3 linked regions of the Saccharomyces cerevisiae S288C genome follow. The protein of the gene in region 2 interacts with the protein of the main gene of each other region in a biochemical or structural test. Each region holds a gene or a part of one and is shown on either strand. Other genes may lie near its edges.

Region 1 (3,880 bases), on a different chromosome or scaffold from region 2:
TGCCCTAAATATCTTCTATACTACAATTCATTTTAATTCAATATCATATTTAAGTTGAGGGCATTTAGATCTTAGAGATTCATCTAAAAATAGGAGGGGTGATGTATAGAAAATGTTCGAATATCATTCCTCTGCTTTTTTCTATATGATTATTTCCTATATGAGCTTTTACTTACTGATCTCATGATCTCAGTGCAAAAATTAGGGGACCGGCACGCCTGAAAGTTTTTTAGATAATTGAATGTTGCGGTGCATTACCTATGAAAAGATGAAGCGCACGTGAACCATATTATAATCAACAAACTTGAAGAATAAAACTTTTGAGCGCATGAAGCCATGATATATCTTATTTGTATCGACATGCTTTAAGTCCTCCGTAGCTTTAAAAAGTCTAAGGTCCAAAATCCCTCGATGGTGCTGATATCACCATTATTCATGTCCATCAGATCTTGTCACATATTTAAACGTGATACCGTTTTAATGAGTTGAAAACTAAATAATTAATATTTTGATATTAAGGCTGGGTCAATAGAATTTAATTCATTAAAATGCTCATCGTTGAAATGAAGCAACGCTTCGTAGTTGTAGTTTAACATGCCAAAATTTTCGTTTCTCTCTTTGCCTAAGTTCGTAGCAATATCTGTATCAGCAGTTGGTGCGTTGCTTTTGGTATCTTTGGAAACTTTAATGATCTCATCTCCATAAGGAGCGTCTGTTTCCATAAAATTTGGTGAAGATGTTGTTGATTCTGACAGGGCTATATCCATTTTGCTTTGTGACAAGGGCCTCGTTGGTGTTGAAGGAAGTATACAAGAAGAGGACGAAGGACCTGGTGTAGGTTCTGTCAAAAGTTCCATCAGGCCTTGGTTGTAATTTTGGATGAAATTGTCGTTGCAAAACATGTTCGTAAAATCAATTTCGTTTAAGTTCGTTAAAGAATCTTCTTTCTCTATCTTTACACAGGAATTCCGCGTTTTGAAATTGTCTAAAAATCCGGTATCATGTAGATCCGCATCCAACTTCGTTTTCAACCTTGGCCTAGGTTTCGAATTATCCATCTGTCTGGATTTTATTTTAGAAACGGAGTTTTTATTTGTTTTGAGCAAATTTTTTTTAGACGTCAAAGGGGGGTTTGATAGTGGGAGAAAAATGTTATTGAAAGCTTCAATTTCCTTGGTTAACCCACAGTCACAAGAAATAATTGGTGTGACGAGTGGTAAGTTTAGACTTGCTTTATATTCTAATTCATCAAATGTTTTGATGGCTTTTTCGTCGTTCTTCTGACGAAGATTTTCCTTAAACTTTTTATAGTCATCCGTTTTAGTAATCAAATCAAATCTCAGCTCATGTGAATGTATGTTATTCATAACAACCACGTTCCACTTCTGTAACCGCACAGAGTAGGCTGCTCTAATTCTAAATGGACATGCATGGGATCTTGAAGAGGAACCTTTGGATTTAGGGTTCAACCCTACTTTCGATCGTACTGACCTACACTTAAAAGTAACTTTGCTACTATCTGATCTTTCGATGACTATATCTATTCCTTGAGGATAGAATATTTTCTGTAGCCACGGTTTAATCTCGTGCCTGTCCTCAAAAGACGGAACTGGGTCTAAATGAATAAGTTTATTTTGGTCTTTAGACATCATAGATGCTAGATTATCGGGAGATGCTGTTAACTTCATTTTCCCTGTTTTAGACACTGATATTGGCACAGATATTATGCTCTTCATCGACTTTGCTTTCATTTCTTGGGGGTCGCTTTCTCTTGATTAATTTGCGCCAGAGTTTCTGGTCACTACAACAAATTTTTTGAATGAGTCGTGTTCACTATTATGTATAGGTCCATCAGTTTAATTTGCACAGTTTTTGCCTTAATCAAAAGAAAATCAATTCTGACTAAAAGAAAGCCACTTTACCGATCTCGGCCCACGAAACGATTTTTTTTTTTACGGTGCTTTTTTCTTTCTTTTTTTTGTTCTTTCTATTTTTTCCCTTTGCTTTTCGCACAATACCGCTTACCGTCAATCGAATAATGAATGGCTCTGGTATCGTTCAATAAAATGAGAAACGTGCTTCCAGTTCAAAACCAAACAGCTCAGACAGGTTAAAGTGAAGAAGTTGAGATATATACAAATTAATGTCACTGTTATTTTTTTTATTTACATTTCCTTAACCTTTATTTAAGAAGAATTGTTTGAATGTTATTGTCATCAGTAAGAATTGTCAGCACTGGGCTATTTACAGAGGGACAGTTACCAACAAAGAGATCTTTGACACTCCTTATACCGTATTTGGCCCTAATGTCTGAGTAGCCCACGAACAGCCACCGTTTGAAAGATATAGAGTACTTGTATACCGATAACGCTGTTCCGTAGAGATGTTGCTCGGTTATAAAAATATACTTCCCATTGTTTGCTATCTGACGTCCTGTTCCTGAAGCATGGACATGAAGTTCTTGTGTCTTGTAAAATATTGGATAAACCTCGCTGTCTGAGACGGGTGGAGAAGAATTTGAATTCTCTATGGGGTCTCTTGTTGGAATGGACAGATATCTCATGTTGGTTTCGAGTAAAATGTGATTCGTTTTAAGAAGATAGTCGATCTTTTGAACGTCTTCGTCTATTTTAAGCATAAAGTTTATTTCCTTGTTTAGCGTGGAAGCATCCGATCCTAATAGATTCTTGCAGTGGAAAATCATATCATTTCCTTTGTATAAAGTAAACTGAGGGAAATTTAAAACGGACTTGACATTTGTGGTCGTGCGTAGATCTACAGGCAAATCAATGTTGGTATGGAAACTTTGAAAACTTCCATTGCTTTGTTGGTGATCTAAAGAAGTTATTAGCAGCCCATCTTTCAAACTAAAAGAAACAACGAAATGTGGCAACAAACCTGCCCAGACATTTAATATAGATAGGTGGCTTTGATGAGAGGAAGTTGAAGGATCCTTCAAAAGCAAGTGATTGTTTACGTTTCCGTTCAAGTCGCAGTTTAGCTTTAACAACTTTCCATTCTGAAATCCAACTAAAATTTGAATGGTGTTTGAATTATAACCAAAATTGCAGTCCATACATATTATTGCGTCCGATAGCAGTAAATTCAACTGCCCGTAAAATTGCTGCTTAATAAAAATCAAATGTTGGCCGTTAAAGTCATACAGCAGTAATTTTTTGTCCTCTGCTTGATTAGAATAAAAAATCCAGTACTTGCTATTGAAATTTCTAAAACTTTTGAAACTTTGTAAATCGTGGGTAGTAAAATAGTTATTAATCCGTACAAATTCCAACCCACGGTTACTTCGAAAAACATCTTCAAGTTCCTTTTCTTCGTCACCATCATCGTCTTCTTCAGAATAGTTTCCAACATCTCCACCATCCTCTCCGACATTGCTAAAGGTAAGCTGGTCGATATGTTCCTTTATCGTATCTGGAAGCTGTGGGTAATCATTATTCACCGTGTAGTTGCCATACTTGCTCGCCCGTTCGTCAAATACGTTCTGATATCTCGTGTGGTAAAATTGCACCCCCTTCCCATCCTGGTATATTTGCATAGGTATACCCATGATTTCGTTATGATTATTTTCTTTCTTGAGGGTGTTTAGCAATACATTATTATCCTTGTGATTTCGCTTATACACATGTAGGATTTCCTCCTTATATATTACAAGTGTGTCACCATTTCCGGCCCACCAATAGCCGCCGACCTCCAAATTACCCCAAATAAAAAAAAAGAAAACTCCGGAAATGCGGGGTTGAGCTGCAATATAATAATAATATGGCAACTTTAGCCGCGCAATCGAAGATACAGTAAATATAGTAAAAACGTGTCTGCAAATGGCTACTTTCGATCCTTCTTCCCAAAAGGCAATATTGCA
Region 2 (6,954 bases):
TCGCTGGAGTAGGCTTCTGGACCTTCTTTGACGGTGTGCCAGAAGGTACCTGTTTTGAGAAAAAAGATAACAAACTCGATTGCTTCATTTTCTTTTGAGAAGATGTGGAGCCATTTTCGAAGTGTGCAGTCTTAGAAGTTTTAGGGGTAGCTGGGGCCATTTTGGAGTTCAAATTGGCTTTGTCAAAATTAACTAGTTGCTCCAATTAAAAAATCTTATCTGTTAGCAAAGAAGGCTCCAAGGAAAAGCTCTTATTAGTTTCAACAGATGTAATTTCAAATATTTTCTCTATATGGCGATGACCTATACATGAATTTATGAAAAAGTGAGACGCGTATCAGCTACTGCTCACGCGTTTATTTTCTCCGGGCAATGGTTGTTCAAAAAGCCAAACTTAACCAGAAGCCATTCATTATGTCACACATATAAAAATGCTTGCATACCATTAGTTGGAAATGGAGACTTTTCTGTTTCAATTTACACTAAATACATCTATTTATTTAAGATTGGAGAGCATGCTGCAAAAAATCAGGGTCTTCCTCCAAGGATTCCTTGATAATGTCTAAACCGCCTTGAAACTCCCCATTTATATAAAGTTGAGGGAAAGTTGGCCATTCAGAAAACTTTTTCAAGTTTTGTCTAACAGATTCGTCTCTTAATATATCAAAGAAGCCAAATCTTACTTGATGTTCTCTCAAGATACCCACAAGTTGTCTCGAAAACCCGCATTTAGGTTCAGAGGGGCTCCCCTTCATAAATAACATTACCGGCGCGGCATTGACCAATTTAGTCAATCTAGCGTTTATTTGCTCCTCAGTTTCTTCTTCCTCTTCTTCGTCGTCATCGTCTTCATCATTATGACTCCCCTCATTTACGTTTGCATTTTCCATAGTATGAGTTTGTGATGATCCGGAATTGACTGAGTTCTTGCAGTCTTCTAATAAAGACACATACTCCTTTGGATCCGCGCCGGATAATTCTTTTAAGATTGTCCCTTTGTGAATTATGATAAAATATGGAACAGCTGAGATTTCAAAAAGTTCTGAAATTTCCGAGTTTTCGTCCGCATCAATGGATAAGAAAGAGACGTTGGAATTGGAAGGCTCATTACTAATGGCCTCAAAAACCTGCTTTAATGCTTTGCATGGTTCTGCCCAACTGGTATGGAAATAAAGCACGATTAACTTGTCGCCGGCCGCAGTGGTAGTTAGGTAAGTAAATTGCTCTTGATCGTTAATTTCAATAACAGGCATTTCCTGAAAAAGTTTTGCTGCTGTGTAATATCTTGCTTGGTGGCGTTTATAACAGTACGAGGTGTAGTTAAAAGAAAATGCAGATGGAACCTGAAAAGAACACATTTAGTCTTTGAAATATATTTTAATGACCTCTTAGTTTGGCATCTCATGACCCGGCACACATTCTCTGAAAAAAAAAAAAAGTAACTGATGGTTCAACAGAGAAGCCACAGTTAAAAAAGGTCCTACCCGGATTCGAACCGGGGTTGTCCGGATCAAAACCGAAAGTGATAACCACTACACTATAGGACCGTAACAACTGTGTATTGTTGTATTACGGGCTCGAGTAATACCGCAGTGTCTTGACAATCCTAATATAAACAGTCTTAGGGAAGTAACCAGTTGTCAAAACAGTTTATCAGATTAATTCACGGAATGTCACTTATCTTATATATTATATAAAATATGAATCATACTAAGTGGTGGAAGCGCGGAATCTCGGATCTAAACTAATTGTTCAAGCATTTATACGTTTGGGTAGTTCAGCTAGGGAAGGCCGTGTTTTATCTCATGTTGTTCGTTTTGTTATTGAGATATATGTGGGTAATTAGATAATTGTTGGGATTCCATTGTTGATAAAGGCTATAATATTAGGTATACAGAATATACTAGAAGTTCTCCTCGAGGATTTAGGAATCCATAAAAGGGAATCTGCAATTCTACACAATTCTATAAATATTATTATCATCGTTTTATATGTTAATATTCATTGATCCTATTACATTATCAATCCTTGCGTTTCAGCTTCCACTAATTTAGATGACTATTTCTCATCATTTGCGTCATCTTCTAACACCGTATATGATAATATACTAGTAACGTAAATACTAGTTAGTAGATGATAGTTGATTTTTATTCCAACATACCACCCATAATGTAATAGATCTAATGAATCCATTTGTTTGTTAATAGTTTAAATGTTTTTATCGGAAGAGGTTTTGTCATCACATCAGCAATGTTCTTCTTGGTCTCGATGTAGTATACGTATAAATTATTACCTGATACTTCATCTCTAAGTCTCATTGCCTTTGTGCCAAAAAATCTGTTTCTAAATTTCTCTTCATTTGTAGACTTAATTATACTGATCGTTGATCTACTATCAGTAAGTGAGCCTTTAATAATTGGTTTCTTGTTAAGTTCTTGCACAAGGTGACTGAGGTTATTCAATAGCGGAATAGCTTCACTGACTGCGTGTATTTCTGCTTCTGTAGTTGAAGTGCATGTTAACGAAGCCTTTGTCGACTTTCCTCCAATCACTTTTCCGTTGAGTAGGAAAATGTTACCAATTTGTGACTTGTAATATGGTTGGTTACCATATGAAGCATCGCTTATTGCGACTAGTTTATTATCTGGCTTGGTAGGTTTGTTTTTGTGCCATATTAATTGTTTATCTCTAGTGTCCCACATGAATTGTATTAACTCATATGTCATGTCTAAAACTTGCCTAGAGGGGAATAGTATATGTTGAGCAAGTGTGTTGATGTAGTATAGTAAGTCAAATCTAAATTTATATCCAACATATGAAGCTAGACCAATCAACTTTTGCATTTCATGCACTTTCTCTTTGTATTCATCTTCATCTATTTCTAGTTCATCCTGGTCTATATAATGACCTGGTTGACCTGGAGCTCTAAGTTTCTTTCCTTTTGGGTTCAAAGGTACGTTTAGTTTGGGTAATTTTTCTGTCAAGGATTTTTCCATACCTAATTTCATGTACTTGCTTCTTTGATATTTGATCTCTAATCCAAGTATGTCGTACTGAATTTCGTTATCACCTTCACCCAGATTTATTATCTTTGTATCGTATTGTTTCTTGAGTGTTGTTATGATTTTCTTATTTGCATTTAAGTCTTTGCTGAACAATATCATATCATCAACGAATAAGCAAATTGTTACTTGACTATTCTTAAATACGCATGACCATCCACGAACTTCTTCCATACCACACTGTTTTATCAGGTATGATTTGATAGTTTCGTACCAGTTCGCTCCACTTTGTTTCAATCCATAAAGTGATTTCTTCAAACGTATCAACTTATCATTCATTCCTAAATGTGGTGGAGGTCTTATGTATAATTCTTCTTTGATGTCTGCATACAAATATGCCGAAGATATGTCTAATTGTGTAATATAGTAGTTATTGTCTAATGCAAGTGACAGGGATGTCATTAATGCATAGTGATGTACGGTATTGGATTGCATGCCTGAGTCGTAAGTGTCAGGATGCTGAATATCACCTCTTGCAACAAATCTAGCTTTATGAGTACCGTCACGTTTCCTGTTGAAGATAAACATTGAATTTATTACTCTTTTAGGGTCTATTTCTTTTCTGTCATAATATTTGTCAGTGTCCCAAGTATTCATTTTCAATAGTTGGTTGACTTCTTTGTGGTATGCTTCGATATATTTTTCCTTTTCTTTAATATCTTTATTATAGGTGATTGCCTCATCGTATCTTAAGGTTGTCCGTATTGGTTTGATTGATTTTACTGCTTTTACAGCTGCAATCAGGTGAATTCGTTTCTTCGATCTCGGAGGTTCTAAACTACGCATATTCTTAGTATTCCATGTGTCTCGTGATACCTTAATTTCAGTTTCATTATCTTCTAATGATCTTTTCTTACTGTTGATAGTAGTATAGGCATTAGAGTCACCAATACCACCCAAACTGGAATTAGTTTGATGAGAATTTATCGGTGGGAGTTCTTTAAATGGGTCAGGGAATTCGGTAGGAGATTCTGGAGGTAGATCAGGGAGTGGGAGATCAGCGATGATAGATTCCTCGGTATTCTGTTCAGAAACAGTAGTTGGCGTTTTGATAGGAACAATATTGTGCGATGAATTATTTTCCGGTGGAGAAGCATCGATTGAAGGTGAACGGTGTATAATCCTTTTCTCAGTCTCTTGGTCACTTATCTGCGGAACAGTTTTGTTGTTGGTACCACCCGTACTGGATATTGGTACGTTTGTATGATTAGTCTCATTTTCACTGTACGAGTCTGAGTGTCTGAAATCTTTAGATTTACTGGCGTGCGACGACTCATGTGTGTTAGATTGGGACATGGGAGCAAGTAAAGGAACATTTAATTTATGCATACCACCCGAACCGGTACTCTCGATATTGGAAATTTGGGGGGTGCTAGATCTCTTCTTTGATGGAAGAATATTAGATTCAGATATGTTGGGGTCAACTTCTCTGGGTGCGCGAATATTGGTTTTAGAAACACGTTTCGAATCTTCAGTATGAGTTGACGGAGGTGTGGAATCGGTTGGACTCACAGCTTTTGAAAGGACATTTCTCGGTTGCTCAGGATGTAGTTCAATGTCGGATTGGAAGTCATGGTCAGATTCTATGTTAAGATCATTGGATTCTTGGATCTCATTTGACGCAATGAACGAATGATATGAAGCAGTTAAACGGTTTAAGTCTTCATCGAAAGTGAGTGCGTCGTAATTGAATTGATCTAATCTGGATTCCTTGCCCTGAAGAATAACATAGTTAGTTGTATCTACTGTCTTCTTTAAGGATGGAAGATAGATGATATATCCATAAGAGTTTCGAGACGGATGTAGAGCGTAGCCTGGGATGCCACGAGGATGTATTTTGGAGTTAGGGTTGTGATCATTGACGATAACAGGTTGACCGAAAGGTAACAAAGTACTGATATCAAGTCCTGCCAAGCCAGCATGTTGTCTTGCAGATTTTTTGCTTTTAGGTGAAGCTAGTGAATTTCTCACAATAGTAGAAAATTCGATTGCAGAGAACCATAAATGGTTCGGTAAACCACTACATTGCAGTTGAGTACGGCAGTCATCTAATAAGGTACGGTTTAGCCGTTCAGCGACTCCATGTGCTCGGGAATCCGCTGTGGTTGTATAGCATGGAGTTATACCATTTTTTTCAAGGAATTTATGGAGAGTTCTGTTAGTATACTCAGAACCACGGTCCATTTGTATAACCAAGACACTGGCCTGAAACTGGTTTTTAATAAAAGCTAGTATCGTAGTAAAAACATCGAGGATAGAGTCCTCGCGACGGTCGTGTAATGGATAAACCCAACGGAATTTTGTTGTCTCATCAGTAAATGAGATGAAATAGGATGGTGCACTATTTGGTAGGTTGTGAACTGGACCAAATATGTCAGTATGTAGGTATTGAAAGGGTTCGTATGAATTTTGGTATTTTAGTCGTGAACCTTTGATATGTCTGTGTTTGGTGCTTTTGCCGATTAAACAATCAGGACATTGATAGTCAATAGCACTAGACCAGTCGACATCTGATTCGTTAAAATACGTGATGGTGTTATTTTTAAGTGAGTATCGAATTGTCTGTGCATTGGCATGCGCAAGCATTCGATGAATGAAAGGATAAGGATATTTGCGTGTACTTTCACTTGTATGGACATTATTGATGGTGGGTACGGAGATATTTGATGGAAGCAAGTACTTTTTAGATACCCAGTAAAAGTCTCCATATTTTACGATAGGTGCAAGTACAGTGCCGTCAGATCGTTCTAAGACGTTTTTGGTAAAGCATGCTGTGATATCTACTGCAGCCAATTCATTCAAACTGAGTAAGTCATAGGCTATGTTAGGAGTGTGCAATACCTTTATTGATGTTTTGGTGTTGTCCTGGAAGTGAAATTGTAGGTCACCAATAGCGTTAATTGGTATATTTCTTTTTTGAGCATCAACTACGTTTATGCCAGGATTAGATGATGCTGAGTGTATGTGGTGAGCAGATCTTATAAGGGTTCGTGATGCTCCTGAATCGAGAAGGAGGTGTCCAGGGAGTTCATCATCAGAATGATTAGTGTGATTTACCGTAGATTCAGTAAGTTCCTGGCCTAAGATGAAGGTCGTGCTTATTGTTCAATTGAATCGGTTCAGTAGTTGATTTACTGATGGAATCGTTGTCCGTGCTGGGAGAGTTATTAGATGTGGATACATTGTGAGCCCTGGCTGTTTTCGATTTCGAATTATTTGTTTTTTGAGGATTCCGAGCTATAACTTTGGGTTTGGTTGTATTCGTATAGCTGCGAGAATCATTCTTCTCATCACTCGGATTTCTCCTGTAATTAGGTTTGCTGTTTCTCGATCCCTGTTGTTCTTCATAAATAGCATGGATATCTAAGAACAGTTCAGCGACTGTCATATTTAGATGTCGATGACGTGTGTAGCGTAAAAATTTATATTCGCCAGATAGACCTCTCATAATTAATTGGCATGCGACCTTGTTATTGATATGAATGCCATTATTGTTCAGTCTGTCGATAATGTTTGTGACTTTTGTTTCAAATGCATCTGCAGGTGTACTGCCATTATATTGCAAATTTGCCAGGGTCACAATGTCGTTTGCCTCTTGGGTATCAGATTGCATTTTTTCAATACTTTTGGAAAGAATTTTCATGATATCCGTATAATCAACGGATAGGATGTCTTTGACCCAGGTAGGTAGGAATTGAGAGGGAGCAAATATTTGAAAAGTGTTATACAAGAAGGTGAGTTCATCATCAGTGATCTGACGTACGGGTTTTCCGTTTACTGTCGGAATAATACCACCGAGATTCGAGTTTTGTAAAAATTTGATGTATGTTTTAACCCAATTTGGAAAGTCATTAGGTGAGGTTAACATTGGTGGTGGTCTGACATATTTTTT
Region 3 (2,768 bases), on a different chromosome or scaffold from region 2:
GCAACGACGACAATGCCAAACCAAGGAGAAGAAAGATCAAATGCAAAAAGACCCGCACACCATCGAACCTACAATCACAAGGAGAACAGGCTGTTGATGATAGTACTGCTATTGAAACAGTTACGTCCACACCGGTCCAAACACCGATACCCGAGCTTGAAGAACAATCTCCCCCATATTTGAAAACAACAGTATCGATAAGGGATAAATACGTTATACCAGAAAAAATATCGCTAAATTTGGACTCCAAGAAAGATACATCTAAAAAGAAACCGTTTTACTTCATAGGTTTGAACTCGCAAGAACCTTCAAATAACTGGAAATGGGGCATGGAGGATAGCCCCCCACCATATCATTAAATTAAGTTACATATCTAAGTACATAACTACACAAATACATACTCTCCGATGTAAATAACGTAAGAAAGCAAAATCGTCTATGCCAAAAAGATTCAATGCCGTCTCCTTTCGAAACTTAATAATAGAACAATATCATCCTTTTCATACCACAATCTTAGACCATTCCTCCTCAGTGTAGCACTTGCAGCTAAAGGCATGAATCTCCTGCAGCTCTTCTTTCACAGCCTTGTTCACTGCACGACTCCTCATTAGTTTGCTTTTACCTTGAAAGAAGTCGCTGACCACCACAATATCAAACGACTGACCACAACCGTACGAAAGATCCGTCACAATGATATGGTAAACTTGCGGTATGGCTGATTCTATCCTCTCGCGGAGTCCCTGTTCAGTAACGGGCATCTTATAGTGTCGTTGGCGCTTTGTTTCTCTCCACTGAGTTGTTAGGAAATGTGATTTTGCAAATTCGTCATTTATTTTCACCTTTTCAATTCTTTCACCTGTCATATATATGTATATATATAACACCGAAAAACTTATTCCAATACACAGTCGGAAGGAAACAGAACAAGAGTCCACCGAAACGCAATGAGCAGAGCTATTACTAGAGCACAATTGGACAAACTTGTGCGTAGCATTACCAAGTTCTACCCTCAAAAGTACGCAGACAAGAGCTGGGACAATACGGGTCTTCTCATCGATTGTTCCACTGCACAAGTCACCACTGCCGATGCAAACGCTAAAACAAAGGTCCTTTTGACTGTAGACCTCACGAAGTCAGTTGCTCAAGAAGCTGTGGATGCTAACTGCAACGTAATTGTTGCTTACCATCCTTTTATTTTCCCAAGCTGGAACAGATTAAGCCCACATACAAACCCACAACACGAGACAGCTATAAAGCTAATCCAGTACGGAATATCCGTATACTGCCCTCACACTGCCGTAGATGCCGCTCGTGGCGGTGTAAATGACTGGTTGGTTAGGGGTTTGAACAACGGAGAGAACGTCGCAAAGTCTTATGCCTTGGAAACTGTAAGTGGCGAAACTGACGACTTGATTGGCTACGGTAGATTCGTAGAATTCAATAAAGACATCTCTTTGGAGCAAATTGTCAAAAATGTCAAGCGTGTTTTACGGGTTCCCTATGTACAAGTAGCATCTCTTGCTGCTCCATCCGCATGGAATCAACTCAAAATCAAAAAAGTCGCTGTCTGTGCCGGGAGCGGTTCTGGCGTGTTTAAGCAACTAAAAGAGGACGTAGACCTTTACTATACGGGAGAAATGTCACATCATGAAGTACTGAAGTGGAAAGAAATGGGCAAGACCGTTATTGTTTGCAACCACTCAAATACTGAGCGTGGATTCCTTCAAGACGTTATGAAGGGCTTGTTGCAAGATGAGGGCCACGAAGTAGTCGTAAGCAAAATGGATTGCGATCCTTTGACTGTTGCATAGCTGCTAGTAATTATATGGCTATATAGGATATCACAAATACCATACGTACTACAGTTTTATCATCCGGCTGTTCGTGTAAAATGATGTTGTTGTATCGGATAGAGAAATACGGATAGAAAAGGTAAAAGTCTTCAAATAACAAGGACAATAACATACTCTGTATTGAAGACGAAGTACTCAGCAAAGCGTAACGTAATTACACTTAGCACACAAATATACTCACACAAATATTACAAGGCATGTCGACGGATACCATGTATTTCAACAGCTCCAGGCTGTTGCCATCGGCTGGCAGGAACAAGACAAATAATCTAATCAAACAAAAAACTAGAAATAATCGTGCGAGGGGAAATGCTGCTAAGAACGCCAATAATAACAACTATATCACAGATATACCACCTCCTCAAACTCTTCCTAACGGTCAGAAACCTAACTTCGGCCATTCTTCCAACAAGAAACCATCATTTAATCAAAAGAAGCACTCTCCACCTTCTTCCCCTTCCTCTACAACTACTTTAGGTAAAAAAAACAGACAGAATAATAAAGAAACGCCACGACAGAACAACAAAGATGATACTCGTTTACTGAGTCAGAACCTAAAGAATCTGCTTCTGAACCAGAAACAATCCCCGCATGGCTCTCAAGGGATAATACCAATGGGTTGTAATGGCAGTGCCAAAAAACTCAGTCACTCTTATGCAGGCTCCACTTTCGCCACTAATGGTCCAAGGGAGGCTAAAAACTTGCCCAAACCAAGTTTTTTATAATCACCCTTTAGAGAGACATTTTTGATTTTTTTTTTTTTTTTTTTTTTTTTTTTTTTAGAATAATGCATATTTTTATTTGATATATACCTATGTACCAATTATACGAATGCTTATGTCTGTTTTGGATCTGGTCATCCAAAGCAATTTCTCAGATGACAATTTTTTTTTCCTATTTTCTGTTACAGTTCAT

Evidence for each region. The genes of interacting proteins can lie anywhere in the genome.
Region 1: the proteins of GRX3 (region 2) and AFT2 form a complex in vitro, tested with the Saccharomyces cerevisiae proteins (2 studies listed by BioGRID).
Region 3: the proteins of GRX3 (region 2) and BOL2 form a complex in vitro, tested with the Saccharomyces cerevisiae proteins (4 studies listed by BioGRID).

The regions. Positions count from the first base shown.
Region 1 is NC_001148.4:167,588-171,467, forward strand, and holds AFT2 (Aft2p), read right to left. Parts: upstream 1,752-3,880; coding exon 501-1,751; downstream 1-500. Other genes in the region: YIG1 (Yig1p), read right to left, coding at 2,183-3,568. UniProt on the Saccharomyces cerevisiae protein: Transcription factor required for iron homeostasis and resistance to oxidative stress. With AFT1, activates the gene expression in response to low-iron conditions, also called iron regulon.
Region 2 is NC_001136.10:643,678-650,631, forward strand, and holds GRX3 (monothiol glutaredoxin GRX3), read right to left. Parts: upstream 1,254-6,954; coding exon 501-1,253; downstream 1-500. Other genes in the region: mismatch repair ATPase MSH6, read right to left, coding at 1-160; YDR098C-A (gag protein), read right to left, coding at 6,127-6,954.
Region 3 is NC_001139.9:80,469-83,236, reverse strand, and holds BOL2 (Bol2p), read right to left. Parts: upstream 864-2,768; coding exon 501-863; downstream 1-500. Other genes in the region: ERMES complex subunit MDM34, read left to right, coding at 1-359; NIF3 (uncharacterized protein), read left to right, coding at 945-1,811; EDC1 (Edc1p), read left to right, coding at 2,051-2,578. UniProt on the Saccharomyces cerevisiae protein: Involved in the regulation of the iron regulon in response to decreased mitochondrial iron-sulfur cluster synthesis. May be involved in mitochondrial organization and biogenesis.